Drosophila melanogaster: one gene and its partners. The protein of the gene in region 4 interacts with the protein of the main gene of each other region in a pairwise test. Each region holds a gene or a part of one and is shown on either strand. Other genes may lie near its edges. The genes, in order: mRRF1, Cpr49Ah, CG9646 and Syn.

The links.
Region 1: the proteins of Syn (region 4) and mRRF1 interact in a two-hybrid assay, tested with the Drosophila melanogaster proteins (one large-scale study listed by BioGRID).
Region 2: the proteins of Syn (region 4) and Cpr49Ah interact in a two-hybrid assay, tested with the Drosophila melanogaster proteins (one large-scale study listed by BioGRID).
Region 3: the proteins of Syn (region 4) and CG9646 interact in a two-hybrid assay, tested with the Drosophila melanogaster proteins (one large-scale study listed by BioGRID).

What each region holds. Positions count from the first base shown.
Region 1 is NT_037436.4:9,361,896-9,366,104, reverse strand, and holds mRRF1 (mitochondrial ribosome recycling factor 1), read right to left. Parts: upstream 1,756-4,209; 5' UTR 1,689-1,755; coding exon 924-1,688; 3' UTR 865-923; downstream 1-864. Other genes in the region: Klp67A (Kinesin-like protein at 67A), read left to right, coding at 1-768, 1,913-2,732, 2,879-3,010, 3,071-3,177; CG34456 (uncharacterized protein), read right to left, coding at 3,436-3,939.
Region 2 is NT_033778.4:12,411,778-12,416,319, reverse strand, and holds Cpr49Ah (cuticular protein 49Ah), read right to left. Parts: upstream 2,359-4,542; 5' UTR 2,259-2,358; coding exon 2,247-2,258; intron 2,028-2,246; coding exon 1,467-2,027; 3' UTR 1,150-1,466; downstream 1-1,149.
Region 3 is NT_033778.4:17,046,589-17,054,965, reverse strand, and holds CG9646 (uncharacterized protein), read right to left. Parts: upstream 6,092-8,377; 5' UTR 5,657-6,091; coding exon 5,539-5,656; intron 4,958-5,538; coding exon 4,791-4,957; intron 4,734-4,790; coding exon 4,311-4,733; intron 4,250-4,310; coding exon 3,802-4,249; intron 3,145-3,801; coding exon 1,822-3,144; intron 1,698-1,821; coding exon 1,548-1,697; intron 1,482-1,547; coding exon 1,441-1,481; 3' UTR 1,111-1,440; downstream 1-1,110. Other genes in the region: tef (teflon), read left to right, coding at 1-305; fat-spondin, read right to left, coding at 681-867; SmydA-6 (SET and MYND domain containing, arthropod-specific, member 6), read right to left, coding at 6,459-6,632, 6,687-7,815, 7,873-8,001, 8,057-8,121.
Region 4 is NT_033777.3:10,189,141-10,194,680, reverse strand, and holds the start of Syn (synapsin), read right to left. Parts: upstream 3,993-5,540; 5' UTR 3,787-3,992; intron 822-3,786; 5' UTR 668-821; intron 1-667. UniProt on the Drosophila melanogaster protein: Plays a significant role in nervous system function, which is subtle at the cellular level but manifests itself in complex behavior.

The DNA of each region.
Region 1 (4,209 bases), on a different chromosome or scaffold from region 4:
GGCAACTCTCATCGCACTCAGCACCCCACAGATGCCAATGCAGAGAGTTCCAGGTCACATGCCATCTTCCAGGTGCACATTAGGATCACGGAGCGCAAGACCGACACCAAAAGAACGGTCAAACTATCCATGATCGATCTGGCGGGCAGTGAGAGGGCGGCCAGTACGAAAGGCATTGGAGTGCGATTCAAGGAAGGCGCCAGCATCAACAAAAGTCTCTTAGCTTTGGGAAATTGCATAAACAAGCTAGCCGACGGCTTAAAGCACATCCCGTACCGCGACTCGAACCTGACACGCATCCTGAAGGACTCGTTGGGCGGAAATTGTCGCACATTGATGGTGGCCAATGTCTCGATGAGCTCACTGACCTATGAAGATACCTACAACACCCTTAAGTACGCTAGCCGAGCTAAGAAGATACGCACGACTCTGAAACAGAATGTCCTCAAGTCCAAGATGCCAACCGAGTTCTATGTGAAGAAGATCGACGAGGTGGTAGCCGAGAACGAGCGACTCAAAGAGCGCAACAAGGCGCTGGAGGCCAAGGCCACTCAGTTGGAGCGCGCCGGCAATAGTGGATTCGATCCGCTGGAGCTTAAGACGTGGTACAGCAAGATAGACGCTGTATATGCGGCCGCCCGGCAGCTTCAGGAGCACGTCCTTGGTATGCGTAGCAAGATCAAGAACATCAACTACCGGCAGACACTGAAAAAAGAACTGGAGGAGTTCAGGAAGCTGATGTGTGTCGACCAGCGAGTGTGCCAGGAGGTGAGTTCGATTTTTCGATTTCAAATGGTACTAAGAGTCCAAATTTGTGCTCATCTAGTGTTTTTCTATTTCTGGAAGTTCATCTCAAGAGTTTTTAAGTTTAAACATTTACATTTATTAAGGCTTTTGGAGCGGAATCAGTCTTGGTCTTAGGCCTAATCGCCCAGCAGCTCCTTCTGCTTGCTGGCCAGCAACTTGTCCGCCTCCGAGATGAAGCGATCCGCGATGGCAGTGACCTGAGCCTGTGCGGCGAAGGCATCATCCTTGCCAAGTTCCGGTTGTTTTTTCAGCTTGCGAATGTGTTCGTTCTGAACGCCTCGTATGGCATCGCGATATTTGACGAACAGAGCTTTGGCATTCTTGGATAGATTTTCCCTGTGCTCCTTGGTGACCTTTGGGATGGGTATGAACAGTGTAGTGCCATCCTGTTGGGGATTAAGGTTCATGCCACTCTTTTCGATGGCTTTGAGGACATCGGGAATCGTTTGCGGGAAGCCAATCATGTTGACTATGATGGTCTTGGGATTCTTGCGAGAGATTTGGGCCAGTTCCTGCAGCTCGTGCTCCTGGCCATCGACTTTGATGCGCAGTGTGTCGATGGCACCGCTGGTGGATCGCAGCGACAGGTGCTTCACAAAATCCTCCTTCATCTGCATCACGGACTTCTGCATCTGGCTATTCAGGCCATCGAAATTGAGGATCTCGCGCAGCTGCTGCTCATTGATTTCCACCTTGCCCGGCTTTCCCTTGCCGCCTTTTTCCTTCTTTTTGTCCTTGCCCTTTGCATAATCGCGCGCCACTTGTAGATATTTCGTGTTTTCTAGATTATTTTGCAGGATTAGAGGTAATTTCGGTGAGGAGCTCGACACTCGCGTCTGGCGCACTCCTAGGGCAGCTAAATGCAGTGCACTTCGCAGCATTTTATTTAAATTTAATCTATTTTGTTTGGATTAAATGCGGAACTGATTTTCAATTGGGCAGCATCAGCTGTTTCTTTCCGATTCGTCGTAACAAACCTCAAACGTAAGGCATGTTAACGTAACGTAACGCTTACGTTGGCGGGTTTATTTGAAAAAAAAAAACTCATTACTTAATTTTAAAATGTATTATTACCATAAATACCCTTTTCTTATAAACTTTTCAGGACTTCCGTCGCTTTGCGAACTACATGAGCACACTGACCAGCCAGATGGAGAAGTACAAGGAGGAGTTGCCCAGCTGGCTGAGTAAAATGGAGATTGCCTACCAGGATCTAGAAAGTCTAAAGCGAGAGGTTAACAAATCAAAGGCCTACCAGATACTCATTGTATACGTTAAGTACAAGGATCTCGAGCTGCAGCTGACCAAGCAGAATATCTTTAACAATCACGTGAACGCAATTAACCAGGAGCTGGTTGAGAACTTGGATCTGATGCGAAAGTCCTTCCGAACAGCCTGCGAAGTGCTCAACCAGACGTACGATCGCCTCGAGGATGGTCAAAAGCTGACGCCGGAAATTGAGGCGGTCTTCGAAAGGTTGCTGCGAAAGATGCGGTTCGCCGATTCCGAGGCCAATACCAAAATGGCCGAGATGAATCCGTTGGCGGTGCCTGTGGCTCTGCGCAGCAGCGCCCAGGAGGAAGAAGAGCCCACATGCAGCCTCACGGCCAGCGCCAAAAAGCGACAAAGGCAAGCGGCTCAGAGCGACGACGATCTGCATTTGAGCATGGAGGACTTTGATAGCCAGGACACCGAATCAGATTCCGAGGAGCTGCACAGGACGTTTAAGAGGCCACGAAATCTAAACGAAACGCAGGTCCTGGGTCCCTGCAGCAGTAGTTCTAGCAGCAGTACTTCTAGCAGCAGTAGCGCAAGGAAGGCACTCACGGCGACGGTGACCAAGCCGCGAACCGTCCAACAGCGACTGGTCAGCGATCTGATATCCGATCAGAATGTGCGCGGTGGCAATGAAAAGATCAAGAAGGGTAAGGTTTTGCTTTCTAAATGTTATGCATTATGTATAAACTATTTCATCGCAGCGAAATTTTTTTGTTAATATGTGGACATGGCTCATAATCATTTATGCATGACGGAAATACTTTATGCTCATTACTTTGGTGTTTAATTGCAGCTCTACTCAAGTCGAATCACTTTACGGCGCAAGGACTTCAGAGAACGTTGGCGGCTGCTTCTCTGGCCAAGGAAAACGTAAAATACAACGCCAACTATGTGCGCAAGAGTCCACGAGCGCTAATGGCCAAAGGTGAGTTCGGCAAACTGTGCCTATTCAATCAGAGATTTTAATGCAATTCTTTACTGACAGCCCTTGCAGGCACCTCGACGCTTGCGAGAAAACCGCTGGGATCGGCCAGTAAGGAGCCGCCTTTGGTCAAATTCAATCGTGCTGCTTCGTTCCGCCTGAAGAAGTAGAAAACATGAACTCATTCAGTTAGTTTCAACTTGTGTTTGCCTTGAAGTAACAACTATTCCGCCAGGACCGAGACAGATTCATGTTCAAATTAACCATAGCTATAACCATATATATAGATAGAACACTAACTCCTCCAAACCCTAAGCTCGTTCGTTTTTTCGTTCTTTTGACCCATTACTTAACCTTGAATTTATTTATGTACTTTTTTTATATTTGTTTTGATAAATTGAAAGAAAGCTTTGCGTTACGCGCTCTAACTAAAAATATACAGCCGTTTCCTTGCCCTCATCCAAATTGTGTCTGTCGTCTCGGTGGTAGAAGCTTTGATCGCACGGCCAGAATTGGGAGTTGGTTTCCGGATGCGAGGCTAACCGACTGGCGCTGCCACTGCGATAAGGAGCCAAGCCCAGGAGTCCCAGCAGCATGTACAGCAGGGCTCCCAAATTCACACCCAAAAGAAGCAATCCCGGTGCAAGCAGAGGATTCAGGATGGACAGTATGGCAGCTGGTGGAGATGGAGCAGCCCAGGCAGCAGTCGGCACTCCATCGTATCCGTACTGCACTCGTCGCCAGGGTTTCTTATCGCCTGCAGCAGGTCTCTTTTGCTGCTCGATGCCTACGTCAGCGGGTAAATCCAGATCCTGTCGCTTGCTCTCGGCCACCGGAGTGTAGCGGGGCACAAATCCCTGCTCCACCGGGATCTTCTCGTCGCCACTGCTTGCGCCGGCTAGACAGGCAATAAAGATAAGCGACAGCCACATATCTACGGGTTTGTTTTTTCCCGACTGGCCGGCTGCAATCTTATATAGCCACTTGTTGCTCGCCCCAAGGGCAAAAAGCGAATCGTGTGGATCTTGCTAGATGTCAACAAGTTGTCACTCTTCAGTTTTACAATGGTCATATATTTCTATTTGTATAGTTAATAGTTATAATAATGCATATAAAAAATTCAACTTAAAGGTATCAAAGCTTGTCCGAATAATGAGCATATAGGTATATATTTGATCTCTGCCTTTTATCAATTATATATG
Region 2 (4,542 bases), on a different chromosome or scaffold from region 4:
GCTTCTGCTATTTTTTCTTTGACGTTGCTTCGATGTCAATGTAATATTCACATCTACAGTTCTTCACATCTTCACTTTTCTGTCGATCAACCACTTCACTTCCCCATTTCTTTTCACTCCCCACAAACAAATATTTGTATTATCGCTACCAGTTTTCGGTGTAACGCTCTTGCGAATTCGATCTTCAGCTTTCTTATAGATATTGTATATTGTAGAGGAAGTATCTCTTTTGCTGGCGATTTGCGATCTGCACGCGACGGCTTGTAAACGGCAACTGAGTTGGCCAAATCAATTCCAGCACCGCACAGGCCCACAAGAAAGATTCTTTCTAATCACGGGCCATAGAAATTTTCCTTTGTTCGGCTTCGTTATTATATGGTTTTTTTTTCGTCTTAATTATGCGCAAGAGCGTTGAAACTTAATGGCGAATAAACATTCTTCGGGGCCCCGCTTTCGGGGTCTGTTTCTACGGCGGTGGTGAAAATGCAGCGGATTTGATTTATATTCAGCTAGAAATAACCGCAGAGTATAGTCAGTGTGTTTACGTTATATGCAAATATGTTAGGTGGCCAAATCGTTTGCCGTTTTGTGGCCCAAAAGGTTATTCGGTTGTTTGTTCTTTCAACCTGATGACAGTGGTTTTTGGTTTCAATATTTGCGTAGCCAAGGGCTACTCCATTCGAAATGCCAAACGGTAAAGGTAGCCTACGTTAAATACAATAATTGGCAGAACGAAGAGGTTTCTCGGCGCGAAATCGGGGCTACGCCAGTAACCCATTCGTGGACCACTTCAACTGGCTTCCTCAGCCTTTCCACATGCAACGCCTGCCCGCGAAGACAAGTCGAATGGCACTGGAAAATCTGTCGTAATTATGCAACTGGCAACCAGTCGAGAGACTCCTCTCGAAAGAAAATTTCCATGGCGGCGATGTAGAAATATGGAAAATTGGAAAACCCAACCTGCATGGAATGGGATCAACAAACTAACGTAATTCGATCTGCGAAGTAAATAATAAAGCAACGAAAGATGCACGGTAAATGGGGAAATACTTTGAGAAAATAATGAGGACCCATAAACGCTTTGTCACGTTTGTCTGAACATCGTGGATATGGTCAGCTGTAAAACGGAAAAAAATAATGCCAGAAAATATGGTAAGTCCATCATCAAGTCGGTTCGGCATAATGGAAACGTTAGTTTACTTTTATTGTTTCAAAGCAGCGAAACTTTCACACTCGTTAATAAAATATTATTAATTTGATTGAGCGCCCCTGTCTGTTGGTTTTATGGTACTTAGTGGGAAATTCAAAAGTTATTAAACGATTATCATTCAGTGTGGTACAGCGATTTGGATTTGGAAGAGCTTGCAGAATGAAATCACAGTCTTGTTGTTGTTGATATAGAATGCGAAGAAGTTACGTTTCCAGGATCATCGGTTCGGTGGGGGAATGGAATGGGCGGAGCTCGTCTATTGGTTCTCCAGCAGACCGATGTACTGGCCATTCTGGTTGGCCACGCGTCGCTCCTCCAGTTTCCTCGCAAAGTCTGGATCTGTCTTGGCCCTCTGCTCCAGACGCTCCTGCTGCAGTTTAATGCCAGCGTAGATCTGATCCAAACCCTTCTGTATCTCCTCGGGAATAGCCGGCGGAGTAGGAATGTGATCACCTGTGGCCCTGAATCCATTCTCGTCGGCCGTGTACTGCACATTGACCAGAGTTCCCTCGGGGGATTGGTAGGAGTACTGGCCATGCTGAACCAACACCCCATTTGGATTGGTGTCGAAGTCCTTGAGGAAACCGGTTTCCTCATGAATGATGCTATTGCCCGTCTCGTATTCTGTCTTGTAGCTTCCATCGTCACTCTGCTCCTTGTTGTACTTGATTATGGGTATCCAGGTGCTGGTCTCTCTGTGATCTTCATGACGATGATGATCTGGTTTGTCATCGCGTGGTATGTTGTTCACATTTTGGTGCTGATGTTGATGGTGGTGTTGTCCTTGGCAGGAAATGGCCAACAGCACAAGAAGTATCTGAAAGGATAAATATTAGCTTAAGCTTACTAACACATGCAAGTCATTACGATTTCCAAACAAAGTAATCACAAAAAAGAATATTTAATCCTATCCTTTAGATGTAATGTAAACCAATAAATTTTATATTTGAGAAGATCGAACTGTTGCAATGTTTGCCAATCATTCATCGAGAATCACTTGACCGATTTTATGTGATTGGTTATGTGAACCACTTACGAGCACTTTCATTTCGCAAGGAGTCTCTGCCGCTTATCCACTGTATTCCACTGATTTGGCCCGCTTTGTCGCCCGTTTGGCTGGCACTGATCGCACTGGCTAGTGAAAGCAGCTCCGTTAGACACTGTGCCAAGCGCGGCCCTATTTTGGTCTTATATAGGCGATTCGCTCTGCTCCGACCCGATCCGATCCTCCTGTTGCACTCGTGTCCATACCCACACAGGTGAGCCTCCATGGGAGAGCGTGCATTTGCTATTTCTGCTGGTGATGGAGTTTCTAATGGAGATGAAGTTGCAGATGGATATGCAGTTGCAGTTGCCGATGAAGATGGGAGGGGATGGGAGTGGAAGTGGAATTTGCCATGGAAGCTCTTATTTTTTGTTAGCTGTCTGATCCGACCGATCGGTAATTGTTGTTCGTAGGCTCGACGACGCTTAAATGCTAAAATCGTAAAAAAAAAAACAATTCACTGTCGCTCTCGTTTGAGGCTTTTTCAGAGGCTGAGGCAGTATGATTTTAAAAGGAATCCAGAACTATGACAAACTATAAGGATAAAGCTAACATTCCATAATAATTTTGGATTAATAATTTGTGTTCGCCTTTTGTAAAATTTGATACCGTCATTATTATATAATGAAAAAAAAACGAAAAAATTGCAAATGCGCACACAGTAAAAAACAAATTATTTCTTTTCGCAAAGCAAAATCAGCTCTAAAAATGTTTAATTTTAATAGCTTCTGACCTTTTCCCTTTTTCTCATGCCCTAATCTTGGGATACTTTATTGAAATAACAAGTTCGTTTCCTAAGTCTTTTGTTTTAACGCAAGAAAATTCTTATGAAATGTTTTTTTTAAACATTTTATATTAAAAATATCTTATCTATTAAACTTTCTTATATATTACTTATTTATGAAGAGTCGTTTTGCCTTGTTAAGCCCCTTTTATACCGGCACCCATCTTAGCCCGGCTTATTGTCGCTGTTCGTATTTGGCCCGCTCGTAGGCCCGGCTCAAATGTCTGCGAAATGTCCGTCCCCCGCCAGCGCGTCCGGTCGTTCATCTTCGCAATGCCGTTATTTAGAAACATGCCAGAACGAGTTTTTTTTGCTTTGCTTTCGTTGTTGACTTGGCCAAAAGCGACAGTCGGCTCTCTCTCTCTCTCTCTCTTGCGACTGAATCGCATTTGAAGTGCATCCAAGATGCTGCTCCCTCGCGGCTTCGGTTTCGGATTCATTTTGAGATTCGCACTCGGACTTAGATTTGGATTCGCATTCTTGTAATTGCGGCAGTTTGGCGGACCCAATACCAACACCAGCGAAGCGCGAATTGTTGTAACAGCCAAAGTGCCTGGCAGATGAGGCAAGACGATAATTGAGTTCAAAGCGGGCCCGTGTCTTGGCAAATGTTAATTAGTTGCCAAACAATTGGGTTAATCTACAGTGCATTTTCGGCCAAAGATAACAAATAAACAAATATTAGGCGTTGTAAGAAATAAGAGAAAAATTCAATCATAGGAGACGATCAACTTGCAAGGGACAATATACAGCGAGTGCAACAACCGACGAAGTGCCGGCAATAAAGCCCGAAATGCTGCCAAACTCCAACGCCTATTGCGACAAACGACTCCTCCTCCCTCTGGGCCATCGTATTTTGGCCAACTCTTCGTCTTCCGCACCCACGACACCAAGTCAAACGCCCGCCAAGCCCCCGGTTTGCAATGTTGCTGCCGTGTGTGGTGATGTTGCTGCTGTTGCTGATGATGCATTGCAGGTTGTGCAACTCGTAGAGTTGCAGTTCCACGCACGGGCGAAAATGAAAATAAAAAACGAAAGCTGGGCAAGGTTAGCTTTCGAGTGCACCACCACAGATGCGCAAATGCTCACCATGAAACCGAACCCCCATCCCACTACCCACAACTGTGGCCCACTCACACATTGACCTGTTGCTGCCGGCATGGGGAAATTGCAGCATCTGCAAATGTCAAACGATTTCACCCTTACATTCTTAGCATTTGTCGTTCTTATGAACAACATTTGACATTTGGGTTCCGTTCCATTCCGTTCGGATTTGGCTTTATGGCAGAGAGCCAACTTGGCTAACAGAACCACGTTGCTGGCCATAAATATTCAGGCTGCTGCCGTGTCGGTTGTGAAATGAAATGCCTTGTCGATGCGGCCAATCTTGAGCTTGACTCGTAAATAATGCTCTAGTGGAGATTTTGAGCCAATCGTCAGCGGAACTTAACTTGACATAAAGATCACGTACCGCTGGTGTGACAAGTGGCCTGGCCATATAAC
Region 3 (8,377 bases), on a different chromosome or scaffold from region 4:
ACCTGGCGAACAGCGATATAAAAGGCATTATTAATCAGATTTCAGTTTGGCATTACAATATATATACCCAATATATTGACTTGGATACCATTTCGGAAAATGCCCGATATACTTTAAAGCTATTCTCGTTTTTACCTGTTAGTTTTGCTTACTTTTGCAAATGTTGCGACGATATTTTCATCTTAAAGAAAGAGTACTTAAAGCATTTGATTTCTCACCAAGTTCGGTTTCAGTGCACAAAATGCATTAAAGTATTCAAGTACAAGGGATACTATGAAAAGCATTTGCGAAACGCTCATTCTTAAGCCACAATGTGTCATTTAGTCATGGTTACATATATTTTTTCTAACCCTACATAAAGTTATGTATTTATTAAATAAAAAGGAATTCCGAAAAGCTAATGCTAACCAATTTGTCAATAAATGTTATATTTTGATTTTAATAAATTTTTCTAATAAATCAAAACGTTTTATAAACTAAATGCTTTAAAGTTTCTTTATCACTACAAAAAGATTAGGTACAAATTAACACAGAAAGCGTTATCAAAATAGCAACTGGACTGACAAGATGGACAACATCACCATCTGCTCTGGATTCTCTTATCATTTCGATGGCTTTTGTTTTTAGTTCTCGAATGACCCCGATGATTACAAAACCAACTAGCTACCTTCCCGACTTACAATTATACGTCTTGCCGGGCACATAGCCGTTGGGTCCATCGGCCACAATTAATTTGTATCCATTGTCGCCGCGTGTGCGTCGACCGTGGTTCAAGTGGGTGGGCGCCCGGGGACATGCGGTGACCATACTAATTGTCAGCCAGATCACAACGATGAGGCGGATGAGCAGCGGCAGCGATTGCCCCATCTCCAGTGCTTTATTTCCCGCGTTATCACTTGACTCGATTACAAAGCTCAACTGCAGCAACGACCGTTTCCAGCGAGGCTCAAAAACAGACTAATCAAGCCGGAGAGGCGATAGAGCTATCTTCAAGTCGAGCGACCGACCCGATGCCGGATGCTTCGGGAACTCTGATTACAAGCATTACTCGCGAGATGGTCTTGACTTTCATCCATTGGCTCCTCCAATAATTCCTCTTTACTCTCGTGTCTTTTCTATTCCGTATATATTTCATGGTATAAATTTTGCCGTACAATTTACAAATAATATTACAATTATATATTTCCATATCATCGGTAACAGAGCTCACTATCGTAGTTTGTAGTTCATAAATTTGTAGGTTTGCTTTCCGCTCCCGAAATAGTGTGAATCGTGAGGATTCGCCTTAGGAAACTCAACATTGGTCGAGAACATAGCATATATACTGATAAATCAAACTGGGACTGATCACACAGACTGGTCACACATTCGATCGATAAATAGGGAATACATGTGAGAACTATAAAGCATATAAATCACAATTGCCAGATAAAGTTAATACTAAAAGGTCAGAATAGGCGTTTCCCGGTGATCCAAGAGATCTGAAAAAAAAAGTATTTTACATCAGAATGGCGAATATTTTTGAGGTAGGTCTTCAAGTAGCTCACCTTTTGCAATGCTCCACCAGGGCAGTGTCACATATGTGAGGAATGCATTTAGCGGCGTTGACTGCTGTCTTCTATTCTCCTTCCAGAAATGAAAAGATTGCGTAAAGCCTCGACTGGTCCATAGGGGATTATAAGCGCCATCGTCGAGCTCTAAAAGTAGATAAGAGGCTCACGGAATTAGTTTATGTTAGTCGGAATTATTGAAATGTAAGTACACGAAAATCGAAGTACAAAAAAATTAAATATAGTTGAAGTAAAAAGCCTAGGAAATAACCTTTTATTGCCTTTTTGGGCACATCGCACCAATAGTAGATGTTAGTGCCATCGGGTGTTCTGCGCTTGGGAACCAAATGCAGCATCTTGCTGACATGAGCTTGCTTGGCTGTTCTCGGAAGAGTAGCACTATTGGCCTCCCCGTTGCCATTGGCCACATCCAGCATGGGTGTAAGTTCCGTGGGCGATATCACGTTTGTAATATCGCTCTGCTCGTTCTCATTGTTCTCGTCCGGCTGCAGCAGATGACTCTCCGGCTCCACAGGCAAGCTGACACACTTTTCGAATCGTTTTGGCGGAGTCTTGGGCGAATCCACGACCGGCAGCTCTTCTCGTCCACGCACACTAATCATTAGCTTGCTGTCGCTCTCACTTAGGATAACCATCTTGGCGGCTCCAACTGGTTCCGATTCACTACCATTCAGGGAGGTAGCATCATCGGCGATCTCGTACTCCTCCGATTTGGAAATGTCAGGCTTTGGATTGTTATTATTAACAGCTTTTTTCTTAGCTGCATCCATTGCCTTGAACTTGTCCTTTTCCTTCTCCTTGTTTCCATCTTTGTCCTTGTCCTTCTCTTTGCCTGCTTTTAGCCGCTTGGGCGACATCTTGGCCAGAAAGTTGGTAGCTGAGCCGTTGACCTTCTGATTTGAAGACTTCTTGTCGTTCTCCTTGTTTTTGTCCTTTTCTTTCTCCTTGTCCTTCTCGAGATCCTTGGCTTTGGCCGTGCGCAGTCTTGGAGGTATGATCCTCTTGGTGGCCACTGGGAGGCTGGTCCTGCGATCAGCAGCACTCAGGGAGGCACTCCTCGTAATGCTGCCACCCTGTTGCTTGCGTTTGATCTCTGATGGCAGTCGGAAACTGCTTCTTTTGCCCACGAGCAGCTCACTCTCCACACTCAGGATGCTGCTTTTTGGCTTGAGACGGGTGGGCCGCTTGTCGGGCATCTTGGCCAGACAGGCGGGCGACTCGTTGGACGGATCCTCGCAACTGGGGCAGTACACCTCGGACATTTCCGGGGTGTCCGTGTTCTTGGCAGACGCCCAGCGCTTCTTACACTTTTTGCCACCAAAGCAATTGCAGCCCGTAGTTGAGCTATGTCCAGTAACGCTGACGTCCCCGGAAACTGTGACCTCCACGGCGGCACTCAATGGAGGCGGAGTAACAGCAGGAACAGCGACTTCCGCTGGAGCAGAGGAAGTACTCTCTCTAGGAGATTCTTGGGTCAACTTTTCTTGGTCACCAGTCGCGAGTTTATGTGTCTCGCAGTTCGGATTTGGGTGCAGTTTTGCCGCTGAGGCCGAGAAAGCAGGACGTTGCTGATCTACAAGTAGATAGATCGGTTTTTGCGTTTTAAAAGCATATACATCGACACACATGTACAACCGATGATCGGCCCAAGCAACTTAATCGATAATTGGCAACAGAAAGCAGTGGAAATAATAAACCAGAATAGGGAAACACAAATATAAACTAGGCGATCGATCGATAATAGGTGGATGAATGGATGTCTAATGAATATACAGTCAAGCCACCAAACAATTTCTAAAGGGAATTGGGAATAGGGACGGGACTACGGAATGTGGTGAACGATTCCCGTTTAAAGCGAAATCCAGTGTCAAACAATAAGCCAAACGAAATATAATTTTGGTTGTCCTTAGTGTATTATTTGTCCTGCTTTCTCGGCAATGTCTGGTGTTCTCTTTATATATATACTCTGGAGTCGTTCTTAGGGGCACACTTAAAGTATATATATAAATTCGATAGTTGGAAGTTTTAAAAGGAAAATCAATGGAACGACAACACATTACGAGAAGTAAATCAGGAATATGAACGGAAAATGAAAGGAGCAAGCGGAAAAGCAGCTTTAATTTAACTACGGCAACAACTGTAAGCAGTAATACAATTCTAAATATCATGCAACTTAAGGATGCTCAAATGAATAGGAAACAAGGATAAAGAAGTACATGTTCAGACTGACCGTCGCGCAAATCTCCAGCCTCGATTTCGGACACCTCGCTAGCCAGCGAGTCCAGTCCCTCGTTCTCCGATCGCGCCTTGGCTCCCACACTGGGGCTGGTGCCACTGCCCACCATATCCTGGTTATTCGAGTTCTTCGTGCGCCACCCGTACCGTGAGAAGTTATTGAGATTGGCACTAGGATCGCTAAGGCGTCTCTGATGTCGATAGGTGCAATAGTCGTCGTTCTCTTCCTCCCACTCGTCCCACATGTCAGTGGCGCAGAATCCCGGCTCGCTGGTGGGTGTCTCCACACCGGATCCTTTTGGCTTGGTCACCGCCATCTCGGCGTGTCCCTTTCCCTGAGGTCCCTTCATCCGGACAAACTCGCAGCGCGTTTGGACACCAGCTCCACTGCTGAACAGGCCAAAGGACATGCGCTGCGCCACCTTGGAACTCAGACTAGATTGCTAAGTTGCAAAATGTAAAAGTTAGGATAGAAAAACATAGAGCAATTCAGATTGGTCATACCCTGGCATCGTACACCTTTTTTAGGGCATCATAGCGTATGGACCCCAAAAAGATCACTCCTTGCACTGCTCCATCTTTGTCGTTAGCCACCAGTTCGACGCACACCATCTCCCCGTCGCGCACCAAAATGTCGCTGAACACCTCGTCGAAATTATCGACCATGAAGCAGATGTGCGGATACGTAATCTCCTCGCCTTCGCCCTTGGTGTCCATCTTCCGACGACTGGGGCTTGCGTAGACCCTCTGCGAATGTCTTCTCAGCACTTGCAACTCCTTTGGCGACGTCCTTGTACAAATGGCCAGTGTCAACGTGTAATCGAACTGATGAATGACCATGTTGAGATAAACCGTCTCCTCCCAGTCCACATCAGGATCACCGATGGGCAGTTTGCGCGAGTCCTTGCGGAATACCTCCACCTCAGTCTGTTTAAAGAATAGAATATGTTCAATGGGTGTTTTATGGTAATTCCTGATGCTCACCTCAAATTTTGGCATGTGACGAGAGGAGCTCTTCACGTGCTTTTTGCGCACAAAGAAGAGCAAGTCGTCTGAGTCGATGCTGTGCACGGGCTCTGTCTGGAAGAGGAAATGACGCACAAACAGGTCCGTCCAGTAGGTGGTGCCCTGTAGGACAACGAAACCGCCATCTAAGAGACATATAATAAGAATATTAACTTTCTGAGCTTCAGCGTCAATGTTATGAAATCAAATGCCTAAGTGTATTACATAATTTGTTATATAGATTTATTATGACCAAAAGCGTTGCTAAGCTTCTATAAATGGAACGTATTAAATCCCAAACTTCAATTGCATCATAAAAATAATTAACTATCTATGTATATTCAAATTTGAGAATTTCGTTTTGGCAATCATATTTCTAGGAACCTTAGCTTCGGCTCTATCTTTTCGATTTTGAGGACTTGTGGGAAACTGGGGGATGCTGATGTTGACCGACAGGTGAACAGCTGTTTGCGGTTTTCCCATACTGCCATTTGGGCCGATAAAAGTAAAAGCCGCTTATGTAAAGGAAAACAAAGAGGTTGGCCAAAAGTGGGGCGGAAAAGGCACGAACACACAAACACAAGCGCAGCAGGGCACACACACAAGCATACACATCCTTAGGGGTTGCCCTTTGTGATAAATCGATAAAGTGCAAATGTAGACAAATTTTCCCTGCTATTTGAACCGAATCGGGGAGCTGCGGAGTCCGGATTAGAGCTGTACCCACCATCCTTGAGCAGCTGACGCATCTCCTTGGTGCGCTGGAAGTTAATGTCCTCCAGGAGCTGCTGCAGAGGCGTCTGCGAACCCTTCAAGAGGGCGGCGGCGGCACTGGCGAGGGCCATCCTAAAGGGGGATTTTCACGGCTCCGCGCTTCCGGATGACGAATGTCGATGTAGAATGGTGAGTATTACTATTTCACAACGTCCAACACATTACGGCCTTTGCGGGGGTGGCGGCAACGTTGCGGGGACGCGGCTAGTGATGTATATATTGCAGCATTTGTTGTTGCTCCACGGTTGGAAATTTTTTGCAGTCGCAGAATCAAGCGGTGCAGAGGAGCACCTTATCTCCACGGCACATGCAAATCGCAACTGAGCAGCAAACCCTCGTTTTTTTCCCACTTGGGGGTTGTTTTATCCCTTATTCGCGGTGCATACCCCATCTGTATTATCAGTTATCAGCTGTTCCCATAATTTCACTGCCTCTTTGTGTTATTTATTCGGAAATGTCGAAAATTCCACGGTTAACTCTTTTGTCTAGCTGAGCTTTTATTGTTTAATGCAAAAAAAAGATAAATAACAATAAATAAACTCAGTAGTGTTGCAAAAGCGGTAAATTAAACGATAACAGCAAACGTGCGGCTCTTCGATTAAAGCTCTATATCAGTTATCGAATTTAAATTGATTTAAAGTTTCATTAAAAAGTAATGCAAACTAGTATTATTTCCTATTGTTCGTGAACATTCCTAACAATTTCGGTTTGATTTGATTTGAAATTTAGCTCAGTTAATATTGTATCCTCTTTTTTTTTCAAATTTTTAATCAACAAGATGAATGCTATACACATGAATAAGTCATTAGTTAAACATGGGAAACAATGCTTATTGAATTCAAATACCAGTTTTAATCTGCAAACTCGCAGATCTTATTGATTTACCACATCGTCATCGGATTCCCGAAGATTTTTTATATCATCCTGCAGCTCCTTCAGCTCTCGAAGCATTGATCGCGTCAGCTGGCCCTCTGGAGTGGCCAGTGGCTCAAATAGAAGCATTCGCAGAGACTCCCGCAGCATGACCTCAACTCGTTCCAATTCCGCCTAGAAAAAATTTCATTAATTTGACATTAAGGAATAAATCCAGGACTTTCCCACCAGGAGGTCATTGGCACTGTGCTCCATTTCAGTATACATTTTTCTGGCCAATTCGGCCTGTGTGTTAGCCAGTTCATAGAGGGCGATAGCCTTCAATCTGGAGATTCCAGGAGTTACGACCTTAAGTACCAACAATATCTCCTGGCACAAACGAATCTTCCGCTCGTATACTTTCTTATTTGGTCGGGTTCCCATATTCTGAAGAATCTGTCGCAATATAGAGGCGATATTTTGCTTTAGATCGAGCATTAGGAAATGATTCCGATGAAGTAGGCGACTTAGCTTGGCCAAGAGTAGCTCCTGCCGGTATATATCATCCCTTGCGTGAAATATTTCCTCCTTAGCACGTTCCAGCATATTCGAGACAAACTCCTGTTTCAGTGTGTGCTCCGGATTAAGAAGGCACTGCCATATTCCGGTATCCGGCTGACGCACTATGTAGCCATCTACGCACGAGCATTGACTGCAAATGAAACTGCTCATGTGTGTTCCCAGCTCGGTGGGATCCTGGCATCGCGGACAGGAGCAGTCGAAGCACTTGCCCACCTTGAGGATTTTGCGACGCTCCTCGGTGCCCAGGAGCACATTGGTGTAGCAATTGTAAAGGATCTCTCCGGCGGCTATAAACCGATTTGCGTAGACCTTTATACGTTGCTCGTCATCGATTGAGATGACCAGGTTGGGCGTGCAGCTGTGGGCGAAGAGTCCTGCCCGGCGATACAGTCCTCTCATGGCGCCACCCACCTCCGGGGCCCTTATCTCGTAGGCATTTATGTCCAGGATGCCTAGGAGACCCTGTACTAGGTCCTCATCCGCCGCACCCCGTAGTTGTGCTAGCACTCCACCATAATCCAGAGGAGTAAATGCGTGCTCCTGGTAGTTTTTCCAGACTTCAGTCCCTCTTCTAGTCATAAGTTGGGAATCCATTTGGGACATTTCCTCGTACAAGGGCAGGGTTTCCTCGTGCTCTCTTAACAGCAGGCATTTCAAAACTGGCTGGATTTCGGTGTGCTCCTTTTTCTGAAGCAGCTCCACCTGGTCGTCCGAAAAATTCATTTCAGCAAGCCTTTTGCAATCTCGTTCGTCATGATCCGAGCAATCCTCACACAAAGCTAACAGACGGCACTTTCTAAGGGTTTACATAAGATTCGTAAATGGATAACACATTTGTATGGAGTCCACCTACCGACAAAAACTCTCGGTTAGATTAAAGCACTTGGAGCAGCGTCTTTCGCCCATTAGGGGCAAAACCACGATAGGATTCTCCAGCAGCAGGGTCTCGCCAGCCCGAACATTACAGAGGGCAACCGCAAATCTTCAGGGAAACCCACAGGGGTTAAATATTTTAAATGGGTTATAGATGCACCCACCTGCCCAGCGTGTCATTCTGCTTTATCTCGCACTTCCTTGCAAAATCGTCGGTTACTGCGGCCATTCTCTGTTTCCCGTTCCCTTTGGCTACCTTTGGCATACTGACAACACAACCAGCGCCATGCTGGCAACTTATTTTTAATTGAACGACAATTCTTTATTTATTTCTTGGTCAATGATTCCCCCCACCCAGCCATACGTTGAACCATGTCGCCGGTACACAATGTAAAAGTGGCAACAACTGAAGGGAGCGCATTGTGTTCGCTTCCCTTCGACTAATCAAATTTGTTTTAGACTAAAAATTGCCGGAGCAGGGCCAC
Region 4 (5,540 bases):
TGAAAACTAAAGTTCTATTAAAATGGCAATTAAGGTGTCTCAAACTTAATTTTAATTAAAATAAGCACCACGAACAGAACATTAAAACGAACGGCGTGTGGGCATGAGTATAAAGTCGAGCTAACGGCAACAGGTGCACAAGCCAAGGACATTTAAGGACAATGGCCAGTGTGTTGAAATTGCATAGCCATTATATTTCCAAGGATCTTTTGTGTGGCGCATAACGTTAGAAATCAATCGGTGGTGAAGTTTAGCGTTTGGGGGGCTCTTTTGGACCAAGTCAACAATGTCAAACACTTGTGGCCAAAACGGCGCTGTGCGTTTTGTATTTATTATCGTGGCCCGCAGGCCTACAGCCACTTGAAACTTTTCAGCCCCTACATAATAATAATGTTGGTCTCAGGCACACACCAGCACACCGACCCCCTGTGGGTAAATTTGCGTGTTTGTGTGCGAAAAGGTTCAAGTGGGCAGCTTGGTGGAAAAACAAAAAAGATTGAAGCTGAAAAAACTGAAAAGCAATTTGCTGATGAAAGCGTAGCAAGGCTATAGATATGTGAGTGTGTTTTGCCATATGATTCGAGTGATATCTTTGGGTGCCATATAGAAAAGCCAAAGTGAAATGAGTGGGTTCTGAAAGCGCGAACGAATCTTGGAACAGTCTTACCGGTGGCGGGGCGCAGATTCGCCCACACCCAGCAGTTGCGATGGCGCTAATATTGACAGTGGTCGACAATTAAGTCGAGCAGTTGGCCTCCGTTTTCGCAGGGGTTCGCTTCGTTACTACGACGAATCTCAGGCTATCCGGTCGCTATTTTAATCTGTAAGTAGGGAATTAATCTTTTAAATTAAATGGAAGGACAATTAATCTTTTAATTTTTTCTGATATTTTTTCTTTTTTTCTATTAATTATTAAATATATTGAGAATTATATTAAGCAGAGGAAGATTCCAACAAAGCTTAAATTCTATAAAGCTTAATGTTTTTAATTAAATGAGTGACACCTAAAGCAACCTAGGTTCAATTATGTGCCCCGCATAATGAACTTCTGGTAAATGACAAAAATTTATAAAAATGTAGTCTTAACTTTCTCTTATTAAATGAAACCCACTGCATCCTTAAGTTTATCACTGCCACACATATTCCCCCGACGAACTTCATCGAAACCCTTTTATTTAGCTGGCTTCGGTCCGGTAACTTATCGCCAAAAGTTGAAGGAAATACGGAAAAATAAAAGAAAAGGGAAAACACAAAGAGCAAATCAACTCGAACAGCTATCAGGCAGAGGATGTCCAGGCAATGGGACGACTGGATGGATGGATGGATGGCGGAATGAATGAACGGACGAGCGACTGGTTAACATCCCCAGGGACGACTGACTGTCGCTTTTGTTGCTCTCTTTTTTTTTTTGCCGTCGACTGCCAAGCAAAACATTGTTTTTGGTTCATTGCACTGGCAGTGGCCTCTATGTAGGACATAGTATACAAACACCACTGAACGCTCACTGAAAAACTCGAAAACACACATCCCTAGGCAATACGAAAAAAATGTGAAAGATTTGCGGCCGAATAACCAAATGTTATGTGTAAATAACACCTAAACAAATCAGCAGGCCAAGCCTTTTGCCTCTGCGGTCCCAGCTAAGTGCGGGAAAATTGCGTTAATGTGTCCCAAAGGTCGCAAGCAAAGTGCTGATTCACTTATCATAACTAAAATATTCAAGGCGGTTGTGCAACTTTTCGTAGCCTACTTTTTAGGGTTAAACAATTGAGGATGTCCTTGCTGGTCCAATGAGATGCACATACATTGTTGAAGTTCATTACAAAGTCAAGACTTTCCAATTTTTCCGATAATAAAATCCCGACTCCTCCTTATCCATTCATGACATAAGCTCTAATAATGAGTTGCTGTGGCTAAGAAGATTACGTATACGCAGGGACGCCGTTCTGTCTGTGACTTACTTTTTGGCCCCCACACACAGCTGAGCTGGGATTCTCTGATTTTCGACCAGAAGCTGTGCGATAGCTGCACTTTCCAACACGGACAGTTTTGACATTTGGCATTTTCTTTAGCGTGTTCCCAAATGTCAAAGTTCAGCACACGTCAGAAACGGACTAACTCGCAGGCTGGGTGACTAAGTAGAGCTTATACAAATCGATTTCATTATTGATGGCCCCGATTGTTTGTTTGCTCTGTTTATTTTGCCTATCAAAACAGTAATAACTGAGCGGTTTTTCGATAAACTTATTTGGCCAACTTTAAGTCTTATTTAATTATCCAGCCAGCAGATTGGTCCTCGTTATTTGCCCAAATTAAGTTGGTCAGGCTCCTTAACTTCCTGGTATTTCTTGCATAATTCATAACCGTCTAGCATCGATATACATGTGTTGCCATTCGGCTGATTGCCAGTACAGCTCGTTTGCGGGATATTTTCATCCGCCGTGTTGTCTGAACGAGCACACATCCCTCTACTTTTGGCTGCCTGGCTGTACGTGTGTGTGAAAACTTTTTGAATTAATAATCACAGTAACGTGTTGAGGGTCTCGGCTGTTGGGTTGCCCTTTCCGGAGGCTTTGGAACTTCTCTGGACTGTTTTTGCCCGCAACTTTTTGGTACCCAGCACAAATCTGTGCTGGAAAAACTTTATGGCCCGGCTTAACCCCCCGATCTTGTGGGTGGCTTGGGCTATTTTCCCGGTAAGAGCGAAGTTGCAACACAATCCATCAACGTCAGTGGCAAATTAAAGTTTCCTTTTATGGCAGCTTAAGCAGTTGCATTTTCTGTCAACCGTTTTATATAAACTGCAATGCGAGAACGAGTTGCGGAATGGGTAAATGCAGGACTCTACATCCGGAGCTGCAGCACCTGCAGCACCTGCAGCCACATTTAACCCATTTTCCAGTGGCTTTTCCCTTACGAGAATGCTTTGTGTTGATATGTGCGTTGGCTTGTCATAAAACAGGGCGTAATGTCTTTTCGATGGTAATTAAAACTGCCAAGCATTTCAGAGTAAATTGTACCGTTGGCTCACGCAAATTGTGGCAGCTATTTCCGTCTGGGGTCAAAGACTTTTATGGCTTTTAGTTAAGCTATAAAGATTTTGCCACTTTAGAACTCAAGAAATAAAATTGGGCTTGTGCGTATAAATTTAAGCTTATTGGATATATCAGAAAGCATTTTCTGATGTTCTTTAACTAAGATAATTCGTTTTAAAAATAGTTTCAGTTACCCAGAACCAATAGCTAAGATCAAAAACAAGTTGAATCTAAAGCGAAATATAAAGAATTATCTCTCCAAGCGACCAGTGGTAAATAGTTTTAGAGACCAAGGTTTTTAATTAATTTTTCCCAAGCAATTAGCAGTATCAAAACCGCCACTCAGGACTATTTGCTCGGCTCCCGCTGGCAGTGGGTTTGTGGGTTATCAGGTTGCCACCGCCCGCTTTGGATCCCCTTTTTTTTCCGACTTCCCCTCCACCTCTCCCCTTTTGAGGACTCTTTAATCGCCAGCTAAGTCGCGCTCTTTGTTTTACTTGTAATTCAATAAAGCGATGGTGCCTCTCTAACCTCGGGGTCTCAGTTTTGTTGTTACGGCGTCTGTCTACGCTTATCACGTACACACACAGACACAAACCCACACACACTCGCACACACACAAAATACACACAGACACTTGCACTCACACTGGGGGCAAACAACGCTGACTAGCTGATACAGAAATTTCTTATATATTTTTTTTTCCACTTTAGCCGTGTTTCGATTTTTGGGTAATTGCGTTTTTCTTTACCGAAAAGAGCTAAAAATTCACTTGAATATTCCTGCTCGAGCTCACAAATTTCCACTCGAATGGCCGATGAACGTTAAGCGATGACTTTTAATGATCAAAAGTGAACAAAAAATGTAGTTTAGATAATTTTGAGATTTGGCTGGGCGAATTTTGTGGAGCTAGAGAATTTTGGCTGAACTGTCAACGACGGTGATGAAATTTTCACTGAGCGAGTGGGCTTTTCATCCAAGAGTTTCCCACCAAAAGAAATGTGCGAATGTAAAGGCATGTAAGTACTCAAAGAGAGGGAGAGATATTGGAGAGAGTTTTGAAAAGAGAGTCAGTGCAATGTGCATTTTATAGTAAAATATATACTTAATAATCCACTACTGGTTGTTTTATAGACAGGCAGGATGAGTAATTAAAATATGATTCAATATTTTCCAGGCTTTTATTAATAACTTCCTAAAATTGCTTGAAATACACCGTTATTTTTATATATTTTACCAACACTGGTTACTCTCTTTTACGAAGACCACCCCATTGGAAGTTAGTGCGCATGCGTGAGTAAGAGAAACCTGCGGGCATATCGATTCATTGAAGTCTGCGTTACGCTACGAGTTCCATCAACCACCACTATATAATACACTATTCAAAACCAACCATGCAAGCCAAATTTTCTTAAAATTTGGTGTAAGCAACAGATCTAGTACTTGCAAATATAATGCAACACTTTTGAATTATTATTCATTTTTTTCAAAAAATAGTTTCTGAAAAAACATAATTATAATGTTTTTAAATTATTAAACAAGAAACATTTTATATGTTTGTAAAAAACATTTTCCTAATGGTTGGATATTATACTTTAAAATAGATATTGACAATAACAAGGAAATGGCTTTGTTAAAAATTTCTCATTTGTTGGAATATTTTTAATAGGAGTTAAACTTTTTTTTAGTGATCTTACACCTAGAGTTACTGACGCACATTGTAATATTTTTATCAGCAAGCATGGCGAATTGATAAAAATAGAGAGCAACTGGGCCAAGACGAAGGGAGCTGTTGCTTGGGCGCCAAAGCCATGGCTTAAATTCTTTTTCCAGCGATATGGTAACGCCTCCGATGGCCAGAATGAGTAGGCAAAGTAATAATGGCCAAAACAAACGAAGATGTGTCCAAAAAGAGCAGCACAAAGAGAGCGAGAGAAAGAGAGAGTTAAAACAAGAAGAAACAAAATAAAGCAGCCAAGCCGAAACAGCAAAGCTTGGCTTAGAGCAATTTCCGTCTCTGCGATTCAGTTGCCAACAATCTCTCGAACTGTTAACGTGTCAAGCGGAAAGTTCCCGACTAAATCTATTTAACAATTGTAGTGCTTTAACGCGTTTCAAAAGTAATAATCATTAGTGCGGAGTGCAGGTAGCTGAGTAATAGCAAATAAAAACAACTTTTTCGAATAAATAAACACATTTTACAAACGACCCCAACAACAATAAGTAAACAATGAGCTGTTGCATAAAACTTGTTTTCACGTGTTGCTCACACGTCGCTCTGTTGAAAAGAGCAGCAAAATGTATAAACTTTAAAGTGAACAAAAACGAAAAACCAAATGAAGTTTAATGATGGAAAACTACTGCTGATTATAGCCAACTTCATGCAAAATAGGTTTAGTTAGTTGAGTGTCTAGCTAACATTTAAATTATGGTATTAAATTGTCTGGAATATGCGCGAATTTGCGAGTTAGTTGAGTTATTCTCGTTTCTCTTCAAGATGCGCTC